Linked DNA regions of Lonchura striata. The protein of the gene in region 1 binds, or shares a complex with, the protein of each later gene. Links are inferred from orthologs where the notes say so. Each region holds a gene or a part of one and is shown in the gene's direction. Other genes may lie near its edges.

Region 1 (7,782 bases):
CTATTTACCTTAGATATTTTTTAGATATTTTAATGCATTTTGCCCGTTCCTGCCCTTATTTGCTGATTTGATTTTCCCATCCTCTTTCTCAGCAATATCAAGTTGCTGCTGCTGGAAAATAAAACGAAGGCAGAAAGTTTTGGCCTTTGATCTGAAGGCCACAAGATTCCTGGGAGGCAATTTGAATTTGCTTTGGGGTGTATGCACATGGGTGCTCACCTGCTGCTGGTGTGGCTGCAGCAGCTTCAGCAAAAAAACCCACACACCCGTGTATGCACACCCATGCAGATTGTTTTATCCTTTCGGCAATATTTTATTTGCTTGTATTAAAAATGGCTAATTTTCTGTTAAGGGTATATAATGCCAAGAAACAGTGTCATCAGTTTGGGATGCAAAAGGATATCAGCTTCCTTTACCTCCCAAATTTCTCCTCTGCAGCCCAGGGAGGTCTTTATGCAGAGGGACAAAGATATGAAGTAAAATTCCTATTGATTTCAGATGCTTTAAATTCAACGTATTTTCAGTGTTGAGGTGATTGAACTTAGCATCTATGTTTCACATGGATGATGCTTTATTTGGATCTAACATGCTCAGTGTACAGAAAACAATTTTCCAATATACAGGACATTCCTGTTTCTAAATTAGATACTTAACAGTAGGAACTGCTAGGGAAAATATGTTTGGTTTTTTTTATAAATTATGTTGTTATTAGTGTTGTTTGAACTGGTCTGAGAGGATCCATCTTCCCAGCCACAGCTGCTGCATGAGGGGAGCCTTGAGCAGCGTTTCCTGGCCGCTTGCCCCAGCCATGCGGGAGCATGACAGGAACGGCAGGGACAGGAGAAGTGCCACCACTGCAGGGAAACAGGAGCATGGATGATGCAAAACCCCTGCCCTGCTCCTCTAGCTGTCCTTGGGCTGTTGCAGGCACTGCAGCTTTGGTGGGGGATAGAAGCAGGTTTCACACCTGAGCCACGGTCTCTGAGAGCAGCTCTGAGCTCTCCTCTGCCCCGCAGGCTGATGAGCCCTTTGCTGGCAGATCTGCGTTTCCACCTTCTAAAATCAGCCCTGGCAGGGTGGGTGGGAGGTGCTGCCCGTGACCTGCAGCTGAAGGGTACTGATGGCTCTGTCCAAAGATAAAATGCTCTGCTGGAGTGCTGAGTGGGGCTCCATGTCCCATATGTTTGTATCCCAGCTTGGGGGAGAGCCTGGAATGGTTTGTGCTGGTGCTGAGCTGCGCCATCACCTCCAGTGCTACATCCTGGGCTGTTCTGTGCCTCCCTGTGGGTGTTGGGGTCAGCTGGCAGGTCCCAGATGGCATCAGGATCTCACAGAAATGGGGCAGAAACAGGGTAGATCAGTGCAGGGATGGATGTTCATCACCCCTCCCAACAACCCTTTCTTTCTCTCTCTTTCTAGATGATTCCTCCAGACCAAGAGCTGCTGGTCTGGTATGGGAACTCCCACAACACCTTCCTGGGCATCCCAGGTGTGCCAGGGCTGGAAGAGGAGCAGAAGAAGAACAAACATGGTAGGTAACATCAGAATGAGCCAAGGGTGCAGCATCCCTGCCTGTTCACCCCGTGCCCAGCTCTGAGGGCACAAGGCAGGGACATCCCTGGGGTATGTCAGATATCCCAGTTCTCTGTGGACAAGCACAGGGACTGTGAAATGATCCACACAGCTTGAGCAGATCCTCAGTTATTCAGGGCGAAGCCTCCAGGCCAGCTTGCCCAAGGCTGCTGCGGGTGGGGTGGTGGCAGTCACTGCCTGACCCAGCCAGGCAGGGAGGAGCAGAGCAGGGTGTGAGTGCAAGGCAGCCCCAACACTCCGTGAAACACCAAGTGGATGCAGCCTCTACACCCGCACTCTGCATTTAAAGGATCTTAATCACCAGCACAGGAGGGCTGTCTCTGCTTGAGCTTCTGCTCTCCGCTCGTCTCAGTGGCTCCCTGAGGTGCTTCTCTGTGGCACAGCGGAGCTCAGGCTGTGTTTGGAGCCACTTCTGCGCTCCCTGACTTTGCTCCCCACTCTGAGAGAGCCATGTCTGAGCCCAGCAGAGCGAGGGGAGAAACTGGGACTGGGGCAGGGGCTGGACAGTGTGGTTGGGGGTTCCTGAGAGTCCTTGCACCCCCCTCCTCCAGCTCTGCTGCAGCCCAGGGAGGGGAAAATTGGTTTTGTGTCTATTTATAAGGGATTCATTCAGCTCAGCTTGAACATTCCCCTTACCTAAATCTGGCTGAGCCCATTCCCAGCACTAGCTGCATCTCAAAATCCTGAGATGCCGCTCTGCCCAGGATAGGTGACCACAGCAGCAGGGAGCCAGCAAGAAGGCACTGGGGGTTTTCCAGAGCACCCAGCAGCCCAGGGAATTGGGGTGGGCTGAGCTGCCGTGCTGGAGGGCAGCGCCTGACTATCTCCTGTCGTCCCCAGAGGATTTCCACGCAGTGGAGACGGGGGCCAGCACGACGGGGCGTATGCGCTGCGTCATCTGCCACCGCGGCTTCAACTCCCGCAGCAACCTGCGCTCCCACATGCGCATCCACACCCTGGACAAGCCCTTCGTGTGCCGCTTCTGCAACCGCCGCTTCAGCCAGTCCTCCACCCTCCGCAACCACGTCCGCTTGCACACGGGCGAGCGGCCCTACAAGTGCCAGGTTTGCCAAAGTGCCTATTCCCAGCTCGCAGGGCTGCGGGCCCACCAGAAAAGCGCCCGCCACCGGCCCCCCAACGCCTCCCTGCAGGCCCACTCGCCCGCCCTGCCCGTGCCCCACCCTGCCTCCCTGGCCCATCACATCCCCACCATGGTGCTGTGAAGCCCCCGGGATGGCAGCAGGATGTGGGACATCAAAGACTGATGCTGAGACATGCAATGAACTGGGGGGGTGACCCTTGGCTGAGCTGCTTTGTCTCGGAGGAGTGTTGGGTTGTTTTTGGGCATCGCTGACTGCAGGGGGTCGGCAGGAGGGAACCCCCAGCTCTGCAGCTGAGTTGTGGAGGAGCATCCCCAAGGAGGTGTGGCTGGTGCTCCCTGGGGTTGGCAGAGGAGAAGGGGTGCAGTGGGATGTGCTGTGTGGGTTTGCCAGTGCACTGCGGGAGGACTGGGAGAGCCGAAAAGCTGGGCCTGGAGGAGCCATGCCTGGATTTTACAGATAATTTGGTAGAAAGAAAAATTCCTGTTATCTGTCCTCCTCTGCTTTAGCAGACACGTGCCCCACTGAAATGTTGGCACGGCCCTGATGTGGCCCCCCCAGTCACACCTATTTGCCCTGGGAGTGACTTTGGTCCTGGTGGCTCCTTCCAAGGGACACCTTTCCCTCTTTGGGAGCCCCGAGTTAGTGAACATTCGCATTTTCCTGCACCTGAGCCCCCCGTGCCCGCCCTGCTCCAGCCAGAGCCGTGCCCTGGGGTCTGTCACCGCTCCAAGCCGTGCTGTGGGCAGAGGGGACACGGTGCCAGCTGGGAATGCCCATCCACAGGCAGGTTCTGCGGGGAACCTGAGCTCTGCCGGGCTCTTCTCCCCATCCCTTTCCCAGCTGTGAGGGAACATTCTGGTTGGAATTGCTACTGCCCTCTGGGGACAGAGAAAACCTGTCCCCGGGCCAGCTCTGTCCCCAAGGACAACTCTAAGCGCCCTCTGGAGTCCCCACACAGCGGAGGAGGGCTGTGTATCATAAATCTTAAAAGAAGGTATTCTAATATTAATTATAAGTCTAAGATGTATAAAGTTCTCACAAATGTGTTTCACTTCCAGAAGAAAATAAACAAAAACAAAAGAAAAAAAAAAAAACCCACCCCCAAACAACTGTCACTTTAACTTTGTAAATATTTATGTAAACATTATTTACAAGACTTTGATATTATATATTATTTGATTGTATATGTACACAGTGTAAATACATTTGTACCTCTCTTGTATTCTAAATAAAAATTACTTGGAACATTTATCATTTAGAAGAGGGATTGCATGGAGAGCTTTATTTTATGTGCCAGGGGAAGGATGTGGGTGTTGGGATGAATGAAGGTCTCAACTGCCACAACAATGTGTGAGTGAGGAGATGCGGTGTCATCTGTTGGACCAAGAATACACCTGGGAGGGGAAAAAAACCAGGTTTTGGCTAAAGAAGCCCTTTTTCAGGTCTGGAAGCTGGGGTAAGGGCTGGCTCACTCCAGAGTGGGTATGATTCTACCCTGCCAGTCCCTATTCTTGTGAACTTTTACAGCTCCTCTTTGAAGCCACAGCCACTGGACATCGTTTGATGCATCCCGTGAATTAGCGCCCATATTTCGGCTGTGATACAGGCGGGATATGGGTGTGGCATACAGGTGTAAGCCCTGCTGGAAGGAAGCGACATTATTTGCTGATGGCCATCGCAGCCCTGAGACTCTAACGGTGCTTGAATGGATTAAACTTTTCCACGGACGTATCAGTTCGTGCTGGCACAGCTCGGCCGAGGGGAAGGGCTCATCCACGGGGATGTTTAAGCCCAGAGTGAGCAGCGGCCAGCTGGGGAGGGCGTCAGAGGATGGCCCTCAGCGGGACACCTTGTGTGAGGGGCACCCGAACCGGGGGTGAGCCCCGGGAGAGCCCCGTGGCGTTCCCCGCGTTCGCCAGGAGGGTTCTGAGGGAGAGGGTCACTGCCCGGGGTGCCCTCACTAAAGATGGCCGCGGTTCCCTTTGGGCTCCACCGGAACGAAGCCCAACAGGCCCCTCGCTGCCAGAAACAAACATGGCTGCCCAGTCACCGCCCCTGCCGCCCTCACTCAAGATGGCGGCGCCCGCGCCCTCAGGCGCGCTTTCGCCAGCAGCCAACATGGCGGGCGGAAGGCGCGTACGGCGGGGCCAAGATGGCGGCGGTCACCATGAGGCTGCCGGCGGCCCGAGCGCCCCTGGATTCCAGCGCGCCCCGGAGCGGCGAGAAGCACCTGGTGGCACCGGGGGACACGATCACCACGGACACGGGATACATGAGGTGCGGGCAGCGGCGGAGGGGAGGCGGCGGGGCGGCGCGGCTTCGGGCTGTCCTTAGGTAGCCGCCGTCTCTCCGCAGGGGCCACGGTACTTATGTGGAGGACGACAAGCTGATCGCCTCGGTGGCCGGCGTGGTGGAGAGGGTGAACAAGCTGGTGTGTGTGAGGGCGCTGAAGGGCAGGTGAGCGCGGCGGCGAGGCCCGCTGTGAGGTGAGGGGTGTGGGGTGTGAGGTGTGGGGAGTGAGGTAAGGGGTGTGAGGTGTGGGGTGTGAGGTGTGGGGTGTGAGGTGAGGGGTGTGAGGTGTGGGGTGTGGGGTGTGACCGCCGCTCTCTGCCCCAGGTACAACGGCGAGATCGGCGACGTCGTGGTCGGCAGGATCACCGAGGTAAAGCCCCGTGTTTGTGCAGGAGGAGGAGCGTGGTCGTGGATCAGTCCGACTCTAAGCGCTTCCCGGGAGCCTAAAACACTGACACGCATCAGTGTCCGTGCACAGGGTGCTGGGAACGTGTGGATTTTTACTGGAATGAGGCTGGAAGAAGCCAGCAGAGCTTTCCCTCCTGCAGCTCAGTGCAGTTTTTGATTGTGTACCCATAAGTTTTGGTGGCTTTTTCCCCTTTAGGTTCAGCAGAAGCGATGGAAAGTGGAAATAAATTCCAGGCTGGATTCAGTCCTGTTGCTGTCGTCTATAAATTTACCTGGTGGGGAGCTGGTGAGTGTAGCTGGTTGTGTTTTGTGTGGCATCTTAAGGGCCCCCACAATGAGCTACTGATGGATATTTCCTCGTTCTGGGATACGTGTAACTTTTCTTGTGATGTTTCAGAGAAGGAAATCAGCAGAAGATGAGCTTGCAATGAGGGACTACCTGCAGGAAGGGGATCTCATCAGTGTATCCTGCTGCTCCCATTGACAGAAGAGCCAAGGGCATGGGAAGAACAGGGAGAGCTTGGCTGGGGGTGAGAGCTATGCTGGGGTGGCACTGGGCAGCCTTAGGGACTCTGTTTCCTTAAGTGGCACCGACAGGCAGAGGTCCAGTCTATATTTTCTGATGGGGCTGTATCGCTGCACACCCGGAGCCTGAAGTATGGGAAGGTGAGTTATTCCAAAGCCCTTGATCCTGGGAAAAATCTGCACCAGCTGACTTGTACAAGGCTTTTTAAAGAAAAGAGCTCTGAGTAGAGCAGGATGTTGTTATAACCCATTCCTGCAGGACAGGAAGACTCTCAGCTCTTCCACGGGACCACCAAGAAAAGTTTCCCCAAAACAGAGGAGGTGTCCTTGAGTTGCCCTTTGATCCACTGCTCTCCCCATCCACAGTTTCAGCCTGCTATTCTGTTTCCCCCCACTAGCCACTTAGGAATTCAATCCTGGGGAGAGATCTCCTCACTCCTTTCTGCTGGCTGTTGCCCCTGTGACTTGTTCCTCTCCCCAGGGCTCTATTTTAGGCTTTACACAGTTGGCATTTATCTCTGGTTTTGTGCATTGAAATAAGCCAAGGGGCCATTGGAGCGTAGGTTGCAGTTTGGGATTACCAGACCAAAGGTATTAACACTTAAAAGATGAAAGGGAAGTGTGCTTATTGCACAAAGGGTGAAGGACAGTGATTGGATTACCAGAGAAAGTGTTCTGCTAAATTGGGCCTCTGACTCCTCATTTTTCTGCAGGGATGGTTGATGTGTAGTTACAATCAAGATATTATTAACATTTGTGCTAAGCACTTAGAGTATTCTTCATCTTCAAAGGGCTGTGCAGGCAATTAGCTAATCCTCCCAGCGCTGCCAGAGGCAGGCAGGTTTTATATTCACTGTTTCACAGGAAAAGATGTTAAAACAGTGTTATTCCTAGGCCAGGAATGGAGTGAGTGTGTATCAGTGACTTGGTGTTATCTGTGGTGGTTCATGATATCTCTCACACTGAGCCTCGTGGTCTGCTCTCCAGCTTGCCCAGGGTGTGCTGGTTCAGGTCTCTCCCTCCCTTGTGAAACGCCAGAAGACTCATTTCCATGACCTGCCCTGTGGGGCATCCGTGATCCTCGGCAACAATGGCTTCATCTGGATCTACCCAACCCCGGAGCAGAAGGATGACGAGGCCGGAGGCTACACGGCCAACTTGGAGGTGAGCGTCCAGGGAACGTGAGCCTTCTTCTGCCAGTGATGGTTTTTAGTCTGACATAGTCAGAGGCACGTGAGGAACCCGAGACTTTCAGGATCTTGTGTTAGGTTCACAGCAAGGCTTTTTTACTTGCATTATTTCCCTGTGCATTCATCCCTTTTCCTCTGTCCTTCCTCAGCCAGTTCCCTTGTCTGACCGGGAGGTGATCTCACGGCTCCGAAACTGCATCATGGCTCTGGTTACTCACAAGATTATGCTCTTTGACACCAGCATCCTATATTGCTATGAAGCATCCCTTCCTCATCAGGTACAGGAACCAGTAGTGTTTATTCCACACTGAGGGGAGGGAACAGAAAGGCTGCATCAGTTGCTGCTGAAGTCAGAGTTTCCTTTCAACTTACCAAAGCACCCTGTAGTAAGCGACAGTATGAACTCTCCTCTTCTGCACAACATAAGTTGATTGCACAATTTTAAGGTTCTGCCTCTGGCAAAGACTAACTGTTCTTAAAGAGAGATCAGTTCCGTTTTTGATAGATGTTGTGTATCCCTTGCTGGGATTATGGACCCTTTAATTCCTGTGGAAACAGTTTTAAATTTGGCATTGTATGAGGGCACAGTGCATTTTATGAAGCAATGAAAAAGTAAATGTCATGTATTGTACAGAGAGCAGGCTCATGACTGTATCCACATCCTGCACTCT
Region 2 (7,099 bases), on another chromosome or scaffold:
TGCCCAGGTGAGTGCCAGCCGTGCCCAGGTGAGTGCCAGCCGTGCCCAGGTGTGCCCAGGTGTGCCAGGTGCTCACCAGGTCGAAGAGGCGCGGGCGTGCCTGCGTGCCGATGTGCAGCAGGTGCCGGTGTGGGGTGGGTTTGGGGTGGGTTTGGGGTGGGTTTGGGTACAGGTGAGTGCCCAGGTGAGTGCCAGCCGTGCCCAGGTGTGCCCAGGTGCTCACCAGGTCGAAGAGGCGCGGGCGCGCCTGCGTGCCGATGTGCAGCAGGTGCCGGTGTGGGGTGGGTTTGGGTTGTTGGGTTTGGGGTGGGTTTGGGGTGGGTTTGGGTACAGGTGAGTGCCCAGGTGAGTGCCAGCCGTGCCCAGGTGTGCCCCAGCCGTGCCCAGGTGCTCACCAGGTCGAAGAGGCGCGGGCGCGCCTGCGTGCCGATGTGCAGCAGGTGCCGGTGTGGGGTGGGTTTGGGTTGTTGGGTTTGGGGTGGGTTTGGGGTGGGTTTGGGTACAGGTGAGTGCCCAGGTGAGTGCCAGCCGTGCCCAGGTGAGTGCCAGCCGTGCCCAGGTGTGCCCAGGTGTGCTCACCAGGTCGAAGAGGCGCGGGCGTGCCTGCGTGCCGATGTGCAGCAGGTGGCGGAAGCCGCGGGTCACGGCCAGCGCCGCGCGCTCCCCGCGCCGCTGCAGCAGCGCGTTGGTGGCCACCGTGGTGCCCATGCGGATCCACTGGATCCCGGCGGCGTCCAGGGGCTGCTCCCGCGGCAGCGGCACCCCCAGCTCCTGCGGCACCCCAAAACTGAGCCCCGGCACCCCAAACTGAGCCCCGGGACCCCAAACTGAGCCCGGGGACCCCAAACTGAGCCCCGGCACCCCAAACTGAGCCCGGGGACCCCAAACTGAGCCCCGGCACCCCCAGCTCCTGCGGAACCCCAAAACTGAGCCCCGGGACCCCAGACCCACAGCGGCACCCCCAGCTCCTGCGGCACCCCAAAACTGAGCCCCGGCACCCAAAACTGAGCCCCGGCACCCCAAAACTGAGCCCCGGGACCTCAAAATTCACCGGGGACCCCAAAACTGAGCCCCGGGACCCCAAAACTGAGCCCCGGCACCCCAAAACTGAGCCCCGGGACCCCAAAACTGAGCCCCGGGACCCCAGACCCACAGCGGCACCCCCAGCTCCTGCGGCACCCCAAAACTGAGCCCCGGCACCCAAAACTGAGCCCCGGGACCCCAAAACTGAGCCCCGGCACCCCAAAACTGAGCCCCGGCACCCCAAACTGAGCCCCGGGACCCCAAAACTGAGCCCCGGCACCCCAAACTGAGCCCCGGCACCCCAAACTGAGCCCCGGGACCCCAAAACTGAGCCCCGGCACCCCAAACTGAGCCCCGGCACCCCAAAACTGAGCCCCGGCACCCCAGACCCACAGCGGCACCCCCAGCTCCTGCGGCGCCCCAAAACTGAGCCCCGGGACCCAAAACTGAGCCCCGGGACCCCAAAACTGAGCCCCGGCACCCCAAACTGAGCCCCGGCACCCCAAAACTGAGCCCCGGCACCCCAGACCCACAGCGGCACCCCCAGCTCCTGCGGCGCCCCAAAACTGAGCCCCGGGACCCCAAAACTGAGCCCCGGGACCCAAAACTGAGCCCCGGGACCCCAAATTCACCCGGGACCCCAAAACTGAGCCCCGGCACCCCAAACTGAGCCCCGGCACCCCAGACCCACAGCGGCACCCCCAGCTCCTGCGGCACCCCAAAACTGAGCCCCGGCACCCCAGACCCACAGCGGCACCCCCAGCTCCTGCGGCACCCCAAAACTGAGCCCCGGCACCCAAAACTGAGCCCCGGGACCTCAAAATTCACCCGGGACCCCAAAACTGAGCCCCGGGACCCAAAACTGAGCCCCGGGACCCCAAATTCACCCGGGACCCCAGAGCCACAGCGGCACCCCCAGCTCCTGGGGGGTCCCCAAAACTGAGCCCCGGGACCCCAAATTCACCTGGGACCCCCAGCTCCTGCAGGACCCTAAAACTGAGACCCAGGACCCCAGACCCATTTGGGGACCCCAGACCTATTTGGGCCCTCCAGACCCATTTGGGGACCCCCAGACTTATTTGGGGTCCCCAGACCCATTTTGGGGTCCCCAGACCCACTTGGGGACCCCCAGACCCATTTGGGGACCCCCCGCACGGGCTGGGGCAGGGGGTCCAGGCAGGCCCAGGGCTGGGGGGCTTAGGGGGGCCGGGAGGGGTCTGGGGGTTCCCCACGGGGGTCCCGGGATTCCCCACGGGGGTCCCTGTGAGAGGCATTTGAGGGGGGTCCCCGTGGGGTCCTTTGGGGGTTCCCGGTGGTCCCGGGGAGTTCCTCAGGGGGGTCCCTGTGCTCCCGGGGGTCCCAGCAGGGCACTCGGGGGGTCCCGGGGTCCCGGTGACCTCGGGCGGGTCCCGTGGTACCCCGCCGTGTCCCGGGGGTCCCGGGGATCCCGGGGGTCCCAGCAGGACACTCGGGGGGTCCCGGAGATCCCGCCGTGTCCCCGCCGTGTCCCGGGGGTCCCGGGGGTACCGGGGGTCCCAGCAGGGCACTCGGGGGGTCCCGGGGGTCCCGGTGACCTCGGGCGGGTCCCGTGGTACCCCGCCGTGTCCCGGGGGTCCCGCTGTGTCCCCGCCGTGTCCCGGGGGTCCCGCCGTGTCCCGGGGGTCCCAGCAGGGCACTCGGGGGGTCCCGGGGGTCCCGCTGTGTCCCCGCCGTGTCCCGGGGGTCCCGCCGTGTCCCGGGGGTACCGGAGGTCCCAGCAGGACACTCGGGGGGTCCCGGGGGTCCCGCCGTGTCCCCGCCGTGTCCCGGGGGTCCCAGCAGGACACTCGGGGGGTCCCGATGTGTTCCCGCTGTCCCCCCGCCGTGTCCCCTCGCTGTCCCCGCTGTCCCCCCGCCGTGTCCCCTCGCTGTCCCCCCTGTCCCCCCGCCGTGTCCCCTCGCTGTCCCCCCTGTCCCCCCGCCGTGTCCCCTCGCTGTCCCCGCCGTCCCCGCCGCTCCCGGGGCCCGGGGGTCGCTCGCACCTCCTGCAGGACGCGGCGGATGCCCTCGGTGGGCGCGTCCCGGTACGCCGGGTCCTCGGAGAGCAGCTTGAGGACGCGGACGCGGCCGCCGGGGCAGCGGGCGAACACGTCCGTGAAGGTCCCGCCGCGGTCGATGGCGAACTGGAACCCGGCGGGGGCGAGCGGCGCCGCCATGGCGGGACCGGCACCGGCACCGGCACCGGCACCGGGAGCGGCGGCCCCGGGGCTCCGCTCCGGCCTGGACAAGGTCGGGCCGGCCGGACAGGGGTCAGCCGGGGAAGGGTCGCTCCGGTCCGGTCCGCTACCCCCGGTGAGCGCTCGCTGCCGCTGGGACAAGGGCTCGGCGCTGTCCGGGAAGGACCGGTGCCGGTTCTGCCCCGGTGCGAGGCTCGGTGCCGGAGCCGCACGGGTCGGGACGGGCCGGGCTCGGAGCCGGGCCGTGCCGCGGGGTCCCGGTGCTGCCGCTCCGCCAGGGGGCGCTGCGGCCGCCCCGGTCCCGCCCGGTCCCGTTGGGTCCCGTTGGGTCCCGTTGGGTCCCGTTGGGTCCCGTTGGGTCCCGCCCGGTGCCGCGAACCGGCCGAGGGGCGGGGCCTCGGGGGGGCGTGGTTTAGGGCGTGGTTTAGGGGCGGGGCCTCGGGCGGTACCGGGGCACCGCCCCGCGGGGGGCGTGGTCTCTGTCCGGGGGCGTGGCCCGAATGGGGCGTGATCTGTGTGGGGTTGCGTCACAAGGGGCGTGGCTTCCGCCGCGGGAGCGTCACGGGGGCGGTGCCTCCCGTTGGCGGGCGGCTTGCGCGGGGCACGCCGGGAGTTGTAGTCCCGCCCCTCACGCGGCGCCGGCATGGCGGGGCTGGAGCTTCCGTCGGGCGCGGGGCACGCCGGGAGCCGTAGTCCCGCCCCTCACGCGGTCCCGGCGCGGGGCACGCCGGGAGCCGTAGTCCCGCCCCTCACGCGGTGCCGGGCGCGGGGCACGCCGGGAGCCGTAGTCCCGCCCCTCACGCGGTGCCGGGCGCGGGGCACGCCGGGAGCCGTAGTCCCGCCCCTCACGCGGTGCCGGCATGGCGGGGCTGGAGCTGCTGTCCGACGCGGGGTTCCGGGCGGACGGGCGCCGGCCGGACGAGCTGCGCAAGGTGCGGGCCCGGCTCGGGGTGCTGGCCCGGGCGGACGGCTCGGCCTACCTGGAGCAGGGCAACACCAAAGTGCTGGCGGCCGTGTACGGCCCGCACGAGGTGAGCGGGGCCGCGGCGCTTCTGAGCCTCTCCCGGGGCTTGTGAACTTCCCCGGGGCTTGTGAGCCTCTCCCGGGGCTTGTGAGCCTCTCCCGGGGCTTGTGAACCTCCCCTGGGGCTTGTGAGCCTCTCCCGGGGTTTGTGAACCTCCCCTGGGGCTTGTGAGCCTCTCCCGGGGCTTGTGAACTTCCCCTGGGTTCGTGAATCCCCTCGGGGCTTGTGACCCCCCCTCAGTCTCCCCCCTCCTCCCGGGACTTTCAGGGTCCCCCATTCTGAGCCCCCCTCCCCAATTTGTGCCCTCCCCCCATTTCTCTCCCCCCCCCCCACTTGTGTGGGTCCCACGCCCCCCCCCCCCCCCCAGCCCCCCTTTTTTCCTTGCAGCTTTGGGGGTCCCACAGCCTCCCCATCTCCGGGTCCCCCCAGTCCCTGATGTTTACCCCCCCCCCCCCAGCTCTGGGGGTCCCCCAGCCCCACCCTTTGTGTGCCCCCCCACTCCCAGCCCTCCAATTTCCCCCCCAGCTCTGGGGGTCCCACAGCCCCCCATGTCCATGCTCCCCCCACTCCCATCCCCTTTTCCCCCAGCTCTGGGGGTCCCACAGCCCCCCATGTCCATGCTCCCCCATGTCCGTGCCCCCCACTCCCATCCCCTTTCTCCCCGCAGGTTCGGGGGTCCCGGGTCAAGCCCCCCCCCATGTCTATTCTCCCCACTCCCATCCCCTTTCTCACAGGTTCGGGGGTCCCACAGCCCCCCCTGCCCGTGCTCCCCCCACTCCATCCCCTTTTCCCCCGCAGGGTCGGGGGTCCCACAGCCCCCCATGTCCATGCTCCCCCCACTCCCATCCCCTTTCCCCCCAGGTCCGGGGGTCCCACAGCCCCCCATGTCCGTGCCCCCCACTCCCATCCCCGTTTCCCCCGCAGGTTCGGGGGTCCCACAGCCCCCCATGTCCTTGCCCCCCACTCCATCCCCTTTCCCCCAGCTCTGGGGGTCCCGGGCCAAGGCCCCCCATGTCCTTGCCCCCCACTCCCATCCCCTTTCCCCCCAGGTCCGGGGGTCCCACAGCCCCCCATGTCCTTTCCCCCCAGGTCCGGGGGTCCCGGGCCAAGGCCCCGCCGGACCGGGCGCTGCTCAGCTGCCGCTGCAGCGCGGCGCCGTTCGCGGGGGGCGGCGAGCGGCGGCGGCGCCCGGCGCAGGGCGGCAGCGACCGGCGGGCGGCGGAGCGAGCGCTGCTGCTGCGGGGCGTGCTGGAGGGCGCCGTGCTGGCACAGCTCTACCCGCGCTCGCAGATCGACGTGCACGTACAGGTGACCCTGTGGGGGTTTGGGGGTGTCCTGGGGGGTTTGGGGGTGTCCTGGGGGGGTTTGGGGGTGTCCTGGGGGGTTTGGGGGTGTCCTGGGGGGTTTGGGGGTGTCCTGGGGGGCTTTGGGGGTGTTTGGGGGTGCCCTGCTGCTGCGGGGCGTGCTGGAGGGCGCCGTGCTGGCACAGCTCTACCCGCGCTCGCAGATCGACGTGCACGTACAGGTGAGCGGTTTGGGGGTGTCCTGGGGGGGTTTGGGGGTGTCCTGGGGGGGTTTGGGGGGGTCTGGGGGGGTTTGGGGGTGTCCTGGGGGTTTTGGGGGTGTCCTGGGGGGGTTTGGGAGTGTTTGGGGGTGCCCTGCTGCTGCGGGGCGTGATGGAGGGCGCCGTGCTGGCACAGCTCTACCCGCGCTCGCAGATCGACGTGCACGTACAGGTGACCCTGGGGGGGGTTTGGGGGTGTCCTGGGGGTTTTGGGGGTGTCCTGGGGGGGTTTGGGGGTGTCCTGGGGGGCTTTGGGGGGGTTTGGGGGTGCCCTGCTGCTGCGGGGCGTGCTGGAGGGCGCCGTGCTGGCACAGCTCTACCCGCGCTCGCAGATCGACGTGCACGTACAGGTGACCCTGGGGGGGCTTGGGGGTGTCCTGGGGGTGTTTGGGGGTGTCCTGGGGGGGTTTTGGGGGTGTCCTGGAGGGGTTTGGGGGTGTCCTGGGGGGCTTTGGGGGTGTTTGGGGGTGCCCTGCTGCTGCGGGGCGTGCTGGAGGGCGCCGTGCTGGCACAGCTCTACCCGCGCTCGCAGATCGACGTGCACGTCCAGGTGAGCGGTTTGGGGGTGTCCTGGGGGGGTTTGGGGGTGTCCTGGGGGGTTTGGGGGTGTCCTGGGGGTGTCCTGGGGGGGTTTGGGGGTGTCCTGGGGGTTTTGGGGGTGTCCTGGGAGGGTCTGGGGGTGTTTGGGGGTGCCCTGCTGCTGCGGGGCGTGCTGGAGGGCGCCGTGCTGGCACAGCTCTACCCGCGCTCGCAGATCGACGTGCATGTCCAGGTCAGGGCTTTGGGGGGGATTTGGGAGAGTTTGGGGGGATTTGGGGGATCCTGGGGGTTATTTTGGGTGTTTTGGGGGATTTTGAGTCACCCCTTGTCCCCGAAGGTGCTACAGGCAGACAGGGGTGAGCTGGGGGCCAGCGTCAGCGCGGCCAGGCTGGGGCACACAGGATCTGTGGGGTGTTTTGGGTGTTTCTGGGCTGTTTTGGGTGGATTTTGGGGTGTTTTGGGTGTTTTTGGGGTGTCTCTGAGTGCTCTTCCCCCCAGGTGCTGCAGGTGGACGGCGGTGAGCTGGGGGCCAGCGTCAGCGCGGCCGGGCTGGCGCTGCTGGGGCACTCGGGCTCTGTGGGATTTTTGGGTGAATTTTGGGTGGATTTTGGGTGGATTTTGGGAGTTTGGGGTGCCCCTGACCCCGCTCTCCCCCCAGGTGCTGCAGGCGGACGGCGGCGAGCTGGGGGCCAGCGTCAGCGCGGCCGGGCTGGCGCTGCTGGGGCACTCGGG
Region 3 (7,175 bases), on another chromosome or scaffold:
AAAAAACATTACCTGGTGGAAAAAGGCAAGGCCAGCACCCATCATTCTCCAGTGCTCTGTGGTCTCTGACACAATAATTGGACACTTTCCCATTTTGCTTGTATTACTACGAGGAATTCAACTACTCACAGCAGTTTTCTTGTAAGAATTTCTGGGCAGGGAATGAAGAATTGGGATCTTTGGAAAATATGGGGAGATTAAGATTTATATGTGGTACACAGAGGATTCTTCATGTGAGACAGTCTGCTTCTGTGCACGAGACACTGATGGGTGGCTGTTCTACACAACAGGAGACACTTCTCTACCACACTTCTATCTTTTAACAACACCTGCATTCTAAGATACAACTTTAAAAGTGAAATTTCCTTTAAAATCAGCTGAGTCAACAAAAAGATGCATCCCCTGTTTTAAATGGAGAATTTTAGTATCAAGATTTTAAGAGAGGTTTTCCATACAGAACAACAAAAATGCTTGATTGAGAAAGATTATGACTCCCAGCATTTCAAGGCAGTCAAGATTAATTTCTGGTCTGTAACAGATACTTGGAAGCTGAATAAGCAGGAAAAATAATTGGGGGAAAAAAAGCCATTTTGATTTAATGGTTCAACTTGATTATCTGATTATCCCCCAATGTTATTAAACGTGCTATTATCTCTTAGGGATCAGATGTCAGTAAGCTTGTCAGTACTCTGGATTTCCTCTGTATTGTAAGACTGTCAATATGTGGTATCAGCAAACATTTTCTGGCACCTTTCCAATAGGAAAAAAAAAACATCAACAACAACAAAAAAAAAAACCAGCTTCCAAATAGATATTCACTTCATTTTCACACTCCTGAGCTCTTGCCTCAAGCCAGTATTTAACCTATCTGTCAAGTAATATTTAAGATTAGGATATGAGAAAGTGCTTTTATTCAGGCAACAGTTTTGGTCTATTTTTGCCTATTCCCCATGAAACAAAATTACAGTTTCTACTTCAACATGGACATCTGTTGCTTCTTAAGAGAATTTGAAGATGCTTCTAAAAGGTTTGAAAATCTTAAACCACATTAAAATCTGAACTCAGACATTGATTTGTATATTCAGAGCCTTCAACTCAAACTGTAACAATTCTGGTTTAGCATGACACTTCACTCAGCAACTGGTTTCACTTGAATCCATAGAAATTATTGAAACAGTTTGCCTGGAGACAAGGAAATTGCAGAGTGTGGAGACAAATAAAAGGAGAAGTGTAACTTCTTTTCCTCTGACTTTGTTGCTTGCCTGGCATCCAGCCTTGGAAACACTTTCCACTTTCCCCAAGGGATTGCTGAGAGCTGGGAATCAGTGTTCATTCAATGCAGCACTGTCTACAGGTTCAGAATTTCTGGCAGGACCCTTTGGAGCAAAAAACTTCTTTCATGAGAGCAGGAAACCCCAAGAGGTGATGTGAAGGCTAAAGTACAGGTGGAAACAGCAAGAATATTTTGGGGTTTACTCTGAAATCTAGCCTATGGAAACATGATCGAGCAAGCATTCAGCAAGCAGATGAAGATGTTATTACCAACTTGCCTTAAGATGGTGTTTAGATGATTTCCTGGCAGTTCTGGATCCCCTCCCTTTTTTTTTTTTTTTTTTTAAATTTATTTTTAAATAAAATTATTTCAGCATATATACCAGGCAACTCCTTTCCTATATTTTAGCCTTGGAAGCTGTGACACATTCCTTCTAATACGTAAGGGACAAAGGTGCTTCAGACAAAGAGCTTGTTTGAGTGCTTCACTGGATCCTGGCCAGAATATCCTGTTCCTCATCTCAGCAGGAGGTACTGTTCATGCCTCACTTCTGCCAGCAGCGCTGCTTGCAAGGATTGCCCATCCTCCCACACCCCCTGGAACTTTCATCATAAAAACAAATTATAAATTACATTATTACATCTAGGCAGAGCCTTTCTTCCCAAATAACCTTATCAGCTGGAGCACTGCATACATCATGTCATGCATGGATGATATGTGTCAATGAGCAGGACTCGCAGCCAAGCAGCAAAGGCACATTGCAGTTAAGGCTGAGATGGAAAGAGAAGGTCAATTTCTTATTTATTTTGATTAGGCTATAAAAATCAATGGCAGCTTGCTGTCAAGATGCAGAGATTCTGATGCAGTTTGGTTTTCTTCTCCAGTCCTCAAATGCGATTTTCCCTCCAGGCTCGGTTCAGTAAAATAATCCAATTCAAGCATTTCAGCCCACAGAGCATTCAGCTCAAATGAAGAAACACTTCCATGTGGGCACAGTAGATCATCACGATCTTCTTTCTAAAAATTCCTGCTTTAGCCTAAGTACCTGTGATTTATTTGCTCATTTATTCACTCTGCAGGGTGCAACACTCACTCCTTCTGAATACCCAGAGTATTTCCATTATTTCATTACCACTGTAGCCCTGCCCCTCACTGTTCAGAAACACAGAAATTACTCAGCTCCTATTTCATTAACCATTTATACTGATCTTGTTTTCTCTGTACCCTCCTCCTACAGATTTCCAATGATGTGTTTTTATGCCTCCTTAATTTGTCCATTAAATTCTTTACCCTTCTTAGCACATGTACAAGCACCAAAGCTGCAAAGTAGCCTTTGTGTGAAGAAGACTGTGTGGATCAAAGGGGACGCAGCTGATTTCCAGCCCCAATACATGACTTATTTCCCCTGGAATTACATCCAGCTCCCACTGAAGTTCACCATCACCACCACCTTCTCTTTTGAAAACGTGCTTTTCCGCCAGCCCGATAGATCGAGTCACTTAACAGTTCACTGAGAGAGCAGGAACAGGAATTTTCCCACTCCACCTCAAGCAGAAATCTCAATATATGCTGAAATTAACATATTTTTGTAATTGACGAAGAGTAAAGTAGTTTGGACAACTCCCACAAACAAAAAAAAACGCTTCCAAATTTGCTGTTAGTAAACTTGAAGAGTTACAGAATTTAACCCCAAGCCTTCGCTAATGAATATTGTCGCCAAATTCACACCAAAAAAGTAAAATCAGACAGAATTTCCACGTAAAAATTGTCAGTAAAACTCCAAGGGCAATTTGCTTATTTTTGTCCTTGGAGAAGGAGTGTCTTTCTGTAATTTTATAGATATTTTCTTACACCTATTATTTGTGATGATATTTATCCTAAACTGAAAATATAAAACCAGCATGGGAAAATCAGGCAGCACTTGTCCTCACTAGCACAAACTTGTGAGTTTTAGAAACACGACTTACATTTTAGTTTGTACCAGAACTGTAGTGTATTAACAAGGCTTGAAAAGACAGCGTGACTGAGCTATTTCAACACTTTTGTGTGGAATATGCCAGTGTCTGGGGTTTAGTATTGGTGGGAAGACAATAGATTTTCTCGTTTTAGCTCAAACGAAGCATAAAAGCCACTTGTAAAGGCCTTTTTACTTACGGGCAACATTTCAGAACAGCAGGGAGGGATGTTCTGCTGGCAGCCCGGGTGCCGCGGGGCATCCGCACCTGGAGGGCTGGGCACCACAATAGTGTTAACCACTCGAAATGTCCGGCATGCATGTTTTGTGCGGTTTTTTTGTTGGGTTTTTTTGTGTTTTTTTTTTTTTTTTTTTTTTTTTGTTGTTGTTGTTGTTGTTGTTTGTTTGGTTGTTTTTTTTTAAATTCCAGATGGCTTTCCTGAGGACCGGCACTCCGGCACCATTTGTCGCTGCCGAGGCGCTGAGGCGCGCACCCTCACACCCTGCACCGGCGCGCCTTCTCCTCGGGTGCTGCGTGCAGTTTTGGGCACCGCAGTAAGGAAAAGACAGGGAGCTGCTGGAGAGCACGAGGGTGCTGAAGGGCCCGGAGGGGAAGCCGTGTGAGGGGCGCCTGGGGGCGCTTGGTCTGTTCAGCTGGCGGAGACTGAGGGGAGACCTCAGCATCCTCGGGAGGGGGAGCGGAGGGGCAATGCCGATCTCTGCACTCTGGTGACCAGGGATAGGACTCGGGGAAGCAGCGTGAAGCTGAGTGGGGGCAGGTTTAGCTCGGATAGCAGGAAGTTTCCCCAAGCAGAGCGCGCTGCCGCCCGGCTACGGGAGTCTCGGGGCCGCGCCCTCCCTGAGGGGGCGCGCGCGGGGGCGGCAACGCCGCGGCGCGTGCGCGCTGGGCACGCGCGGCGCGCGGCGATGACGCGCGCGCTCCCCCCCCGCGCCGTGCCCCGCGCGCGCTGCCCCCTCACGGCGCGGCCATGAAGGCGACGCCGCTCTCCAACTGCGAGCGGCGCTTCCTGCTCCGCGCCATCCAGGAGAAGAAGGTGCGGCGCCAGCACCCCCCTCCCCGCCCCTTTCCCCATCCCTTTCCCCATCCCCTTGCCCGCCGCCCGCGGAGCGCGGCTGTCGCCGGGAGCCGCCTCCCCCGCCGCGGTGCCGTCGCATGGCGGGCATGGCGCACCGACCCTCTCCATGTGTGTGTCCCTGTGTTCCCGCAGCGCCTGGACGGGAGGCAGTGCTACGACTACCGGAACATCCGCGTCTCCTTCGGCGCGGACCGCGGCTGCTGCATGGTGGAGCTGGGCAGGACCAGGTGGGCGCGGGGGCTCGGCCGCGGGCCCCGGGCCAAGGAGAGCCTGAGGTTCCCCTGCCTGCAGACATCTCTGTAAACAGATTTTAACCTTTCAAGCCCTAAAGCCCTAGTATTTCAAGGGTGGGAGCAAAGAGGAGAGGATGGAAAGGAAGGAAGCGGGAAAGGGATGGGGTTTCCGTGATGATTGTAGTTACAAATAATTTATAAAATGCAGAATTGTTCCCAGGTTTTCATCCGTTTATTCAGTGGTCTCACGTTTTGCATTCTTCCCCAGACCAAACAACCCTTTTTTGCCTGTGTAAAAGTGAAATCTGTGCATTTACATAAATATGTCATTACAGTTTCTCATGTGTTTGAGTCAATTCTTAGTCTTAAAAGACAGGAGTACGTTCTAGTTCTTAACATTTGGCTCCTTCAGTTGTTGACCAGATTTTAAATAATGTTTGACAGATGTTGAACGAGAAACTGTCAGGAGTGAGAATTACAAACTAAAACCCTAACCACATGCTTTTTTCTCCCCAAGTATGTGTTTTGTTTCTAGATTTTCCCTGGTATTTTCTGTGACTTGGTGGTTTATTTGCCTTGGCAGGGTTCTTGCACAGGTCTCGTGTGAACTCGTTCCGCCTAAGCCCAGTCGACCCACAGAGGGTGTGCTCTTCTTCAATCTGGAGCTCTCACCCATGGCTGCACCTGGGCTGGAGCCTGGCAGGTAATGCATGTCTTAAAAGGAGTAAACAGGGATGGCATAAAAGCCACTGTAATCGTATTGACTTTGGGTTAATTTTATTCCAACAGACAATCTGAGTTACTGGTGTCACTGAACAGACTACTGGAGCGATGCCTCAGAGATTCCAAATGTATTGAGACTGAATCTCTCTGCGTTGTTGCTGGTGAAAAGGTAGGAAAACTTCTTCATTCCTGGTGGGTTTAAACTAAAAAATACATATAGTCCAATTTTAAGTTGGTCTCTGTCTTGTGTTGGATAGTAGAAGTACTGATTTTAGGTTAATGTAAAGATCCACTCATCTGATTTGAGAGGTATTTTTAACTTGTCATGTCTGCATAGGCTTTCTGAAGTAGCTGGGACCCTACAGAATGTTGTTTAAATTGTGCTGAAGTGCTGCATATTTTGTCCTAATTAAATCTGGCACAGTGGGTCTCTTGAAATATACCTAGATCTCTAATCTTCTTAGTCAAAGACCTAGGGAAAATATATTGGTTCTTTGTCTGTTTCAAAAAAGATGAACTAGTTTTGAAGAAAAATTAATTTCTGTAGAATCAAGCAGTTTTGTATTTTTTGTATTTTTGTCAGGTTTGGCAAATTCGGCTGGACATGCACCTGTTAAACCATGATGGCAACATCACTGATGCTGCCAGCATAGCAGGGATTGTAGCTCTGTGTCATTTTCGCAGGCCAGATGTGTCTGTGCAAGGAGAGGAAGTAACTGTGGTAAGCTGGGTTTTTGTTTCTGTTTTAAATTTCCTGAAATTTCTTTGTCACTTTAAAATTAAACGAGTTTAATAAATAACTGTATTCTGGGCCAATTCCTTTCCAAGTACACTCCTGAGGAACGTGATCCTGTCCCCTTGAGTATCCACCACATGCCCATTTGTGTCAGTTTTGCCTTCTTCCATCAAGGGTAAGATTTTGAGGTCTTATGTACCCACATAAGGGGTATAAACCTTGCCAACTCCTTTGTTTAATTGTGTTTAAGGGTAGTAAGGTGTCTCGAATTTCTACTGTTGCCTCATATTTCAAACCTTGATTCTAGGACCTATTTGTTGGTGGACCCAACTGAACGTGAGGAGCGGGTGATGGATGGGCTCCTCGTAATTGCCATGAATAAACACCATGAAATTTGTACCATCCAGTCCAGTGGAGTGGTCATGCTGCTGCCAGATCAGGTAAACCTTTGCTCTGATCAGTCCTTCTGTGGTGTATAGACTGGTTCCTGTGCTGCAGTCTTGATGTGGAAATATCCATGACATTTGGAAGCTGAGAAACCAATTAACTGTCTGATTTTATTGGAAAAGATTGTGTATTTTTTCTTTTAGTGGAAGAGCATAGTACTGTGTACCATGCTGCTGAAGGGGTGTAGAAAATGCATAGTTTTTGGTCAGATATTTATCTTTTTATTTTCCCTGTGATCTGGCTGAAAAAAATGTGCAGATTATTTCCAGTTGCACTCTGGAAGCTGCTAACTTTTTGTATGTCTCAATGAATCCAGTCCTTCATGCTAAGGGTGCTATATTTTAAGTGTTTGAAATTCCTGTGATTTAAATGTTTGTGATTCTTATGATGCTCTATAGTTTCAGTTAAAAACGTGTTGATTTCGTGGTTGTAAACTGGTTTTTGTATGTGTAACAAACAGATTCTGAGATGCACTAAAATAACAGCTGTTAAGGTCGCAGAAATAACAGAACTGATTCAGAAAGCCTTGGAAAATGACCAAAAAGCCAGGTGAGTGTTTTGGGAAGGGATGGAAATGGGGGTTTTTAAGAAATGTAGTAAAAAACTAATGTCCATCAGCAAATTGTCTTCATTTGTATTTGTTTTAAAGAGCAAGTGTTTGTATATTTGAACTTGAAAAGAGAAGCAACTTTTGTTTATCCTGAAATAATGT

The links.
Region 2: EXOSC2 (region 1) and EXOSC4 share a complex: the UniProt entries of both Homo sapiens proteins name them as parts of the RNA exosome core complex. The link is inferred for Lonchura striata from reciprocal best matches to the Homo sapiens genes EXOSC2 and EXOSC4.
Region 3: EXOSC2 (region 1) and EXOSC9 share a complex: the UniProt entries of both Homo sapiens proteins name them as parts of the RNA exosome core complex. The link is inferred for Lonchura striata from reciprocal best matches to the Homo sapiens genes EXOSC2 and EXOSC9.

Annotation. Positions count from the first base shown.
Region 1 is NW_027461138.1:109,894-117,675, forward strand, and holds the start of EXOSC2 (exosome complex component RRP4), read left to right. Parts: upstream 1-4,767; 5' UTR 4,768-4,848; coding exon 4,849-4,973; intron 4,974-5,051; coding exon 5,052-5,153; intron 5,154-5,312; coding exon 5,313-5,358; intron 5,359-5,592; coding exon 5,593-5,682; intron 5,683-5,793; coding exon 5,794-5,859; intron 5,860-5,993; coding exon 5,994-6,062; intron 6,063-6,908; coding exon 6,909-7,085; intron 7,086-7,260; coding exon 7,261-7,389; intron 7,390-7,782. Other genes in the region: PRDM12 (PR domain zinc finger protein 12), read left to right, coding at 1,420-1,531, 2,434-2,816. UniProt on the Homo sapiens protein: Non-catalytic component of the RNA exosome complex which has 3'->5' exoribonuclease activity and participates in a multitude of cellular RNA processing and degradation events.
Region 2 is NC_134603.1:819,490-826,588, forward strand, and holds the start of EXOSC4 (exosome complex component RRP41), read left to right. Parts: upstream 1-4,099; coding exon 4,100-4,270; intron 4,271-5,352; coding exon 5,353-5,571; intron 5,572-7,099. UniProt on the Homo sapiens protein: Non-catalytic component of the RNA exosome complex which has 3'->5' exoribonuclease activity and participates in a multitude of cellular RNA processing and degradation events.
Region 3 is NC_134606.1:69,539,468-69,546,642, reverse strand, and holds the start of EXOSC9 (exosome complex component RRP45), read left to right. Parts: upstream 1-4,175; 5' UTR 4,176-4,216; coding exon 4,217-4,282; intron 4,283-4,456; coding exon 4,457-4,551; intron 4,552-5,140; coding exon 5,141-5,260; intron 5,261-5,346; coding exon 5,347-5,449; intron 5,450-5,863; coding exon 5,864-6,001; intron 6,002-6,108; coding exon 6,109-6,191; intron 6,192-6,323; coding exon 6,324-6,456; intron 6,457-6,923; coding exon 6,924-7,012; intron 7,013-7,175. UniProt on the Homo sapiens protein: Non-catalytic component of the RNA exosome complex which has 3'->5' exoribonuclease activity and participates in a multitude of cellular RNA processing and degradation events.